Arabidopsis thaliana: one gene and its partner. The protein of the gene in region 2 purifies or fractionates together with the protein of the main gene of each other region. This does not show direct contact. Each region holds a gene or a part of one and is shown on either strand. Other genes may lie near its edges.

Region 1 (3,884 bases), on a different chromosome or scaffold from region 2:
TGATCCAATAGTGCATATGATTATGAGATATTACTCGTACATGCTTTCTTAAGAAGTTTTAACTTGGAACGGTGAATTGTCAATGTTAATTGGTGTGTTGTGCTGCAGATTCTTCCAAGGGAACAAAAGAAGCATGAGTACAACGAGGCTGTGAAGAACCGGTACAAGCATCTTTCTGAGGTTAAGCGCATTGTGAGGTAAATGACCAATGAAAACTGTGGTTTTATCCCATGCTTTAACTCTGGAGATTGTCAAAAGATAACTATAGTAACATGGTAACGTTTTGGTTATTGTGAATTACAGACACAGGCACTTGCCAAAACCAATATACAAAGCGATGGGTATCATTCGAACTGTGAACGATTCGAAGAGAAGAAAAGAAGCACGAAGGAAAGCTCACAGTGCTCCAGGAACAGTGGTCACAGCACCTCTGCGCAAAAGAAAGATCATCAAAGAAGTGGAGTGACTCTACTCTTTCTCCGTTTGTTCCTTTCAAGGATGATGATACGTGGAGAGGATTGTATTGGTATAGTGAGGGTAAGATTAGGAACATGAACATTTTTGCTGTGTTGTAAGCCTTTCTTTATGCCATTAAGTTATTACCCATTTCGTTTTCTTTTTTCTCTTCACTACGTATTGTGTTCATTAACTATTCGTTTTTGGTGTTACAAAGCTGATCTTCAAAGTAACATTCTGATTTCAAAGATTTATAAAGTTTGGAATTAGACCGACTTAACTAGACAATGGTTCTATGATCCGTCGATGAATTTTATGCACTTACAATTTGTCTTAACAATGACATTAATCAAGGATGAGATGCTTTCGATGTAAAAAGTTGGGCAAAACTCTCTGTAACCGAGAGGGTACAATAGTGTACATCAAATAGTAATTAATGAAAAAACAAAGACATTAGTAAAGTTTAAGAAAGAAAAACTTATTTTTACTGTATTAGATAGTGCACAAGCAAGCTCTCAATGGTCTTTAACTTACATCAACACAAATTAAAAGGAACAATTGCATTACGCCATTACCGCAGGCTCAATAGTTCTCCAGAGCAAGATCATGACCGCATATTTTAGGGTAAAAAAGAAGAAGCATATTCCTACAAGCAACTCTGGACCAGTCATACAATCTTCATCATCTAAATCAAAGACCTTCACGGTAGAAAAATCAGAACCCAACACTCTCAGGGGTTAACCTCCATAAACATACTAAAAGATCACTGATCACCACCAACATTGATCAGTTCATACTCAACGAGAGACAGATTGTTATCCTCCTTGACAGTGAAAGACGCGGCTCCAGTGGCTTCGATGCGTCCCCATTTATCAACTCCTAGCCTCATTGTACCCTTGAACATGTCTATCCTTGAATTGCGCAGTATCACCGTAGCACCCGGCTTCATAAGATCAACTATACACACACACACACACACAAAAAAAACCAATAACATCATTAGAGCTAATCAGTAGCCACATCAATTGCACGAAAACTGGTATAACAAAACTTCACATTATGAAAAGCTATGAAAGTTTTGGGATAATGTAGACCATTCAATTGAACATAACTCAACATCTAACCAAGCAAGTTTCATCATCACTATAGGTAAGACTATACAGAGTTACAGACCCTCAAGGCCAAGATTCTTTCAAGCTTCAATTTCACAAAGACATCACTAAATACACATACAATAACTGATACATCATTTACCAAATAGTACTAATAGAAACACATTTACCATTTGCTCAAAATAGAAATTGATTAAGACAAACGAGAGAACAACAAAGGATAAGACTTATCACTCTAATAAACTACGAAGACACCATTTCTATATCCATAAAGCAAGAGAAAAGTGGAGAAACAATAACCTTGATCGTTACGAGCAGTGAAGAGGATACACCCAGTTTCGTCACCGATGAGACACTCAACGATTCGACTAGGCTGAGAAGGACGACTCAGAGAACTCGCTGGACGAGTCTTCCGGGTAACAGGAACCACGATATTAGCCTCAATGACTTTAACAGTCAACGTGTGACCAGTCGTTCCAGGCTTTAGCTGTTCCACCTTCACAAACACCGGTTTTCTCTTCACCGTCGAAGTTCCCGTCGCAACCGCAGCAGTTCCAGTCGTCGCCATCGCTTCAAATTACAATACCCAGATTTCGCGTTCGCCCTAATTTGGTGGAATCGATAAAACTTTTGGAGAAGAGAAATGGGAATTTAGGGTTTATAAAGAAAAGACGACGATGTGCTCTCTCCCAAGACGGACGAGAGTTTTTATCACCTGCTTCTCACAGTTTCATGAGCTTGTCACGTGTCAATTTATTATTTGATATTAATGACTGCTCTTTATTTATTATTACGTAAATGTGAAATATTATTACACAGGTGGATACTGAAAAGACACTAGTGACTAGACTAATAAAGCTTCTTTGGTGCTTTGGTTTCTGCAACTAGCACCAACGCTTGCTCTTCTTCTGCTGACCGCGGTGAAGTTGACTTATCCTCCGGCGATTTTTGTTGCTCCGGGTGAGTTTTTTCTTGTTGCTTCTTCTCCTCCTCATCCTCGGAATCTAACTGTAGATTCTGTCGTCTGTATCTGATTACTACTACTATGATAAACACTGCAATAAAACGGGTCTTGAGAGAAGTTAGATTCCAGAATGCAGTAACTGCAGAGCCTGCTACGAATTTCTTGTGTGTGCAAACTCCCCAAGCTTCAACAAATCTCCTTTGTGCACACTCAACTACACATAAGCAAAGATCAAAGAATCCTTAGTGTCAATCATTGGAACCATCAAAGAGCTACGCAGTCTGTTAATAGAGTTTACCTTTTTGGTTAAGCTGACTTGCGTAACATGAATATAGCTTTGGAATAGTGAAGCTAAGGAAGAAACCTGTTTAAAGAAACAATGCATACTCTGTGTCAATTCTACTAGATACAACTAAAGAAAACAGTTTAGCTTTCTTTGGAGTAATGTTGACATATAGTGTTTCAACAATCATACCAAAAGCACATAATCTCCACAATGTTATGAGGTAACCATACTCAGCTCCCATTAGAACAAAAGGTGCCACCTGAAATCAAAGTAAAAACAGTGTAAGAAGGACAAAATCAACGTGAGAGTCACATTCATTGGAGAGAAGTTTTATGAGAATGGCAAAGTTTTGTAAATTCTACTTTGAGTGTCATTGCTGGTTCACCAGAGAAAAGCTCACTCGTCTTTGAAATTGCTAAATTGGTGATGGGAAGCATTCGTCTAGCTATTCGTAATACATCATCTTCACTCAATTTAAGCTCTCTCCGCGCTTCTTCAGTAACCCTTTATGGTAACAAATGGATCAAAACTTCAGTCAACTGCAGTTCAAGCTGATATTTATGTACTGGGACCTTAAAAGTTTGTACCTTTGGCGAAGAGTATTTGACAAGAACGATACCCCAAGAAACAAAAGTCCAAGATAGGAGATCGCTGAGAAAACACTTCAAACCACACAAAGTTTCATTATCAACTCATGAATGTGAAAAATGATTAAAGCTAGAAAGATAAACCTTGACAGAGAAATCAATGTTACCTAAAGTTAAATCCTTTAGCAGCAAAGCAAGTAGATAGGAAACATATACAGCCAAAACCAAACCAAAGTGTTGATTTCGCAACATCTCTCCACATAATCAAATCGCTTATATTCTCTCTAATCCGCTCTAAATCACCTTGACAAACATCTTGAGCTGAATTACACAAATCATTGAGCAATTATTAGAGCACGAAAGTGAAATCGAATGAGCTAATAGACAGAGGAAGGACATACGTTGATCTGAAGATGGACTAGGAGAAGCTAACAGAGGAACAGAACTGTGCTTCTCCTTCTTAGATCGACCCAACTTCT
Region 2 (6,081 bases):
ATTTGCCCTTGAAAGCTTATAGCTAAATTAATCTTCCTTCAATAGGTCGAATGTGGACAATGTATTGACGACCATTGAGTGATTACAAATTCTACTTAAAAGTAGGATTGACAATTTGAAATTATCGTAACGTTTATGCAAGAAAAAACAAAGTCTTTCTCTCGAAGCCAAAAAGACTCGTGTTTTCTACTATTTGTTTATTGCCCCGTCGTAGACTAGCGTTACTTGTTTTTGTTTTTGTTAAAAGTTCTGTTTAAATTAATGCACTTTGCTTTTGGATTTACCAAATGTCTATCAATGAATGCACATGTGTATGTTGACAAAAACACAAGGCTCATTTGTATTTTTTATAGATTTCTTTCATCATACTCTAAGAAGATTAATGACAATCTTTAGACATAATTAGCAAAAGTGTTTGTATTATCATATACTTGTGTATATATTTCCGTAGAGTAGTCCACAGAATCTGCAATACATAGATCCAACTAATACATTTTTCAAAAATTAAATCTAAGTAGATTATATGTGTGTACAATATACATAGGAATAGGATCCATGTAAATTAAAGGTTTGAATGGTGTTAAAATAGTAATAAGAGGAACATATAGAAGTAGATAGAAAAAAAAGAGAGGAGAATATGTTACACATCCATAAACTAGTTGAAAATTTTCTTCTACTTTTGTATTTGTGCTTTACATTGTTAATGAACAAGAAAAGAATTCCGAAAACAACCTTTATTTTAAAAAATCCGAGGCCATACAATTCAATTTTAAATACATCTTTTGAATTATAAGAAACAGATTTTCTTCTAGTTTTGTATTTCCTTTTTCAAATTCGTTTCGTTAGAAACATTAAAATCTCTTAAAAATATTTTGGGAACAACAAGAAAAGTGAAAAGAAAAAAACAGAGTCAAGACTTGATGACTCCAAGAGTAGAAGCTTGAAGCGACACCGTATGACTCTCATCTCCAATATGAATCCCATGATCACCGATCGGAATCCTTCGGTTCCCGGCTCGGTCCACTACACTTAAATACTTACACACGTGTATATTCACCTGCACACGCTTCTTCTCCCCAACCGCCACGTGTACTCTCTCAAAAGCAACCAGCTGTTTCTTCGGAGCCCATTCTCCACCCGGCGGAGCCGAGAACACAAGCATTGTGTGCGTCCCATCTCTCGAGCCAACGTTAGTAACTTCCACGTGGACTCCGAGAGAGAGACGATCACACCTAGCGTGCGTCACACGGATTGATTTCCCTGAAACGGTGCCGTTTCTTCCACGAACAGCTATAGGAATCACTTTTGGCGCGTCGGCTATGTTGTGAGTAAAGCGCGTGTAACTCAAACCATGCCCGAACGGGTAAACAACTGGACCGTCGTAGAACCGGTAAGTCCGACCCGGGATCCGCTTCGAATGGACCGGCCGCATCGACATTTCTGTCATTGGTAAATTGGTTAAATAATCTTGCGGATACCAAGTCATCGGAAGCTTTCCTCCGGGATTAGCACTGCCGAATAAGATATCGGCGATTGCGGTACCACCTTCTTGACCCGGATACCCGGCCCAAACAATCGCTGGAATTTTCCGATCCTTCTCAGCAAAAGATATATCGATAGGCCCACCAGACATCAATACTAAGATAACTGGGCCTTTAGCGGCCTTAGCAACTCTAGAGACAAGCTCTTGTTGTTTCCCAGGCAAAAGCAAACTGTTTCTGTCCTTGAACTCCGCTTCAATAGACTGATCCAAACCCATCACAAGAACCGTCGCATCAGCTCCACGAGCCGCTTCAACCGCGGCATCGAACAATCTATCATCCATGCAGTGTACGTCCACGCAACCCTTTTGATGAATGGTTCGAGCATAACCGGTAATACCTTGAACCGGACTGGTATATCCACAAGCAACCCCTGCATAATTACCAATCATTGTGACCGTAGCGTCTGAATTAGGTCCAATTACGGCGACAGTTCGGTGACGTTGGCTTGAGAGAGGTAGAGACGAGCCGTGATTTTTGAGTAGGACGATTCCTTGTTGAGCTGCTTCGAGAGCTAGTCCTTTGTGAACCGGTGTACACACGTGTGCCGGTCCAAGGTGTCCGTACGGTTGAGCCGCTATATCGCCATCAAACATTCCTAGTCTCATTTGGACTGTTAGCGTGTTGATTAAGGCATTATCAACATCGGACTCACGCAACAAGTTTTTCTTCACCGCATCGATTGTATGGGCTCCTAGAAATGGCCCACAATCTAAATCCAAGCCTACACAATCAACACACAAGATTGGTTAGTTTAAGGAAAAATATTCAATTTTAATTTTCTACTAAAAATCAATAATTTTATTTACCAGCTTTGATGGAATCAGCGGCAGCTTCTTCAGGAGTACCAGTGTAATGTTGGGTATCGTACAAAACACCGACAGAGTCACAATCAGACACGATATACCTGTTTGCAGAAAAAAAAAAAAATCAACGGTCAACGAAATTCTAAATTACATATACGGAATGTTTTGAGCTGACGTGGCGTGATCTTACCCGTTGAGACCCCATTGATTGCGTATGGTCTTCTTGAGGAGATTAGGATCAGCACATGTAGGAACACCATTAACTTGATTGTACGAACACATAATGCTCGCAACGTTACCTTCTTTAACACACATACGGAACGGTACGTCGAACGTGTCTTCTATGTCTTGCTTGCTTACCTATCAAAACCAAACACGTGAGAACAAAGAAAGAAGTTGAAGCAAGACAAAGAATAAAAGATTAAATTAAACCTTAGCGTTGAAATGGAATCTGTCGACGCCGTTCCAGTTATCGAGATCGTAAGCTGTGAAATGTTTGCAACAAGCAGCTACTTTTAACCGGCTACGGTCGTTTCCCTGTAACCCTCTGACGTAGCTCGCTGCGTATTTACCGGCTACTACTGGATCTTCACCGGGAGTTTCCTGTCCACGTCCCCAACGTGGGTCCCTCAATATGTTAACGTTTGGGCTCCAATACGTAAGCCCACCAACTCCACCGTTGTACATGGCCCTGGCCTCATTTGACACAACCTGCGAATCCCCAAGAGCGTAACTTAGTCGTGGTTAATTGTTAATGATAAAATGCGCATGACTAATGTTGCAAGTTGAGAGCATCGTATGCAACTTGCGGCTTGCCTCGATTTTAGCGAAAAGCGTACGATAAGTTCATATTCATTTCACCTTTTTAATAAATATTAAAATAGAGCAGTGTTATTTTTTAATATGTTATCTGATTAACTATAAATATCATTAAGTATTCAAATTAGTTAAAAATTGTTAGAATCAGATCTTTGTCGTAAATTGGAGATGGCATAAAAACGAAACCAAGAGCAGAATGTAAGTTACTTTAAATAAATTAGTTTTATTTAAGAAAAGTTACTTTCAATAGCGGTAGGCTAATAAGAGATTCGTGCGTATGTTTATTTGCATGAAGTACCGGACAAAATCAGAACATGAGAAGTGTCGAAATATCACAATTGTATATAAGTTATTTTAAAAATAAAAAACAAAAAACGAATATTAGTTCCGATAAAAGAGAATATTTCGATACAGTAAAAGTGTTTTACATATAAATCGCACTAGAGGTAATTAAATACATAATAAATGTGAGCTGTATATATATATAATTAACATTATTACTTACGTCATTTTCACAGAGAAAATAGTGAAAAGTATTTAGTAGTTAGATCGGGGGCACACACAAAAATAATTGAAATAGGTGTTTTTAACTTAATGGATAAAAGAGAGAGAAAGAAATAATCTGACCCGTCCGATGGATTCCCACAAGGAGGCATTGAAAGAAGCAACGGTGGTGATGACTTGAGGGAAACTGGTGGCTGCAGGGTAAACCCCACCGAACTTAGTACCGGGTCCCACATTTGAAACGCCGTGTAAAGCCTCCGACCACCACTCGTACCCTTTGATTCCTAGACGTGGTATCGCCGCCGCAGTGTTCCCTAACAAGCTCACTTTCTCGGCCAATGTCAACCGTCCGATCAAATCTCTGACTCTCTCCGGTATAGGAACTGAAAGCTGGCAGAATCTCAGTGTAGCTGTTGCTGCGTCCTTTGTATCGCAAGCAAACGTTTCACGGCTATGAACGCAAACGCTGCTGCTGCTTATCAAGAAGAAGAGAATAACGGCCAAGAACGCCATTTTGTGGAGAATCATTTCTTTAAAACAAATATTATTTACTCCTCTTCCTAGTTTCTTTTGGGTTTTATGGAAGAGAGAAAAATGGAAATGTGATGAAAGACTTGTGAGAGTGAAGTTTGCGTGTTATGTTTATATAGAGAGGCAATGATAATGGTATGATAAAGATAATGAGTAGAGCTCTCTTCGTGAATTTTCTTTACTCTATCAAGGAAATATCATTTTTCTTTAATATATATGAATATTTCGAAACCAAACATATTTAGATATAAAGAATTGGTTTTATATTTAAATTTACATTTAATTTGAGGAGAAGACAAGTTGAGAGATTTGATGAGTGAACTAACCTGCCATTTTGGATATGTAAATGGTTAGAAAGTGTTGGAAGACAGTTGTCACTATGTGGGTCCTGGTTCTTAAGAGACTTTTTTATGTGCAGTTAAATAGATTTGATTATAATTCGACTTTGTTAATCATATAATTAGTTACTTGAATTTCGTTTTATTATGTTAGGTTTTCATCGTAAGAAAGAAAAATGTTGGTTTATATCTGAAGCAATCTGTTTTGCAATTAGTTTTCTTTTTTTCTAACAGAACTTTTTGTTTCCCACTTGACAGGTAAACAAATTAACTTGGCTTGTACGAGATGTCACACCATTCTAAATTCCTTAACGATCTTTATTTTATTTTTGTTCTTTTTTCTTACATACATGTGGCCGGTGAAGTGGAATTGCACGAATCATTTCTTATATAGATGTAGATATGCGAATATTTATAATAGAGGAGTAATTTTTTTGTACTATTGCATCCTTTGAGCAGAGTAAATGGATGTGGAACAAATTTTGCGGATAATCAATTATATACAATGTTAGAACAAGTATAGATCGAATCTTTTCTGGTTGAGTATTAATGTTTTAGTCAATACATACTGTTTAATTTGTTTAATTACCCTTGTAAGAATCTTTTTCTGGTTGAATATTAATGTTTTAGTCAATATATATAGTGTTTAATTTGATTTTTTAGAAAAGTTTAGTCTGGATTTACCGTTTTCATTGCATATGGTTTGTATGATCCTTTTATACATATTTTGAATAATAAAAGATGACCACAATTTGAAAAACAAAACCGTGAATAAAGGCAGATAAAAACCGTGAGAATAGGAAAGGATAAATTAAATTTTATTCGAGCGACTAAGAGGTCACGAAGAAGAAGGCAACGTAATAAGTAATTGAAAAAAGAAATAGTAGTATAAGTATGGGCATGGTGTGTCGGAAACAGACAGCAACTTGTGCTCTTGTTACTTCGGTGTCCCAAATCTCACACTCTATTGGCTCATATCTTCGGTGTTCAACTGTTCATTATGAAATTATTACTACTAAAGTAATAACTCATTATTGGTTATTGCGATCCTTGGGAAACACCTAATCAGCAATAAAACTTCCAAAACTTTATTTTTACCATATAATTAAAAACAAAACGCCACGGACTGTAACTTAATTAATTAGCACCACAGAATTTGTATGTTCTAAGTTTTGAGTGGGAAAACCCTTGAGTAACGCATTGATCATAAGAAGAAATGAAAGTAGTCAATGGAATATAAGGGTACTGAAAAGAAGAGTCCCGACCAATTTCATGAACAAATTAAAGTAGTAACTTTAATCCTAACCCATCTGTTTTGTGTCCCACCAAAAAACATACAGTCTTGTGTGTCTTTGTACTACTAGCTATGATCTCTAGAGCCATATCAAAGAATCGTAATCCCGAATATATAATGCTAAGATGTGACTCGTGTTGGTCTTGCTACCACCAAATCTCACAACCATCTAATCAAATCCCTATCACACTCACTTGCTTTATAATGAAACCAACATCGGAAAGATTTCAAGAACGCAAAGTAGTGAG

What was found.
Region 1: the proteins of BXL2 (region 2) and AT4G28440 fractionate together in Arabidopsis thaliana (co-fractionation; one large-scale study listed by BioGRID). This does not show direct contact.

Annotation. Positions count from the first base shown.
Region 1 is NC_003075.7:14,058,306-14,062,189, reverse strand, and holds AT4G28440 (Nucleic acid-binding, OB-fold-like protein), read right to left. Parts: upstream 2,295-3,884; 5' UTR 2,137-2,294; coding exon 1,869-2,136; intron 1,414-1,868; coding exon 1,220-1,413; 3' UTR 804-1,219; downstream 1-803. Other genes in the region: AT4G28450 (WD repeat and SOF domain-containing protein 1), read left to right, coding at 109-197, 304-466; AT4G28430 (Reticulon family protein), read right to left, coding at 2,418-2,746, 2,831-2,896, 3,008-3,077, 3,181-3,322, 3,406-3,480, 3,573-3,726, 3,807-3,884.
Region 2 is NC_003070.9:562,410-568,490, reverse strand, and holds BXL2 (beta-xylosidase 2), read right to left. Parts: upstream 4,474-6,081; 5' UTR 4,199-4,473; coding exon 3,794-4,198; intron 3,059-3,793; coding exon 2,780-3,058; intron 2,708-2,779; coding exon 2,538-2,707; intron 2,449-2,537; coding exon 2,351-2,448; intron 2,266-2,350; coding exon 911-2,265; 3' UTR 720-910; downstream 1-719.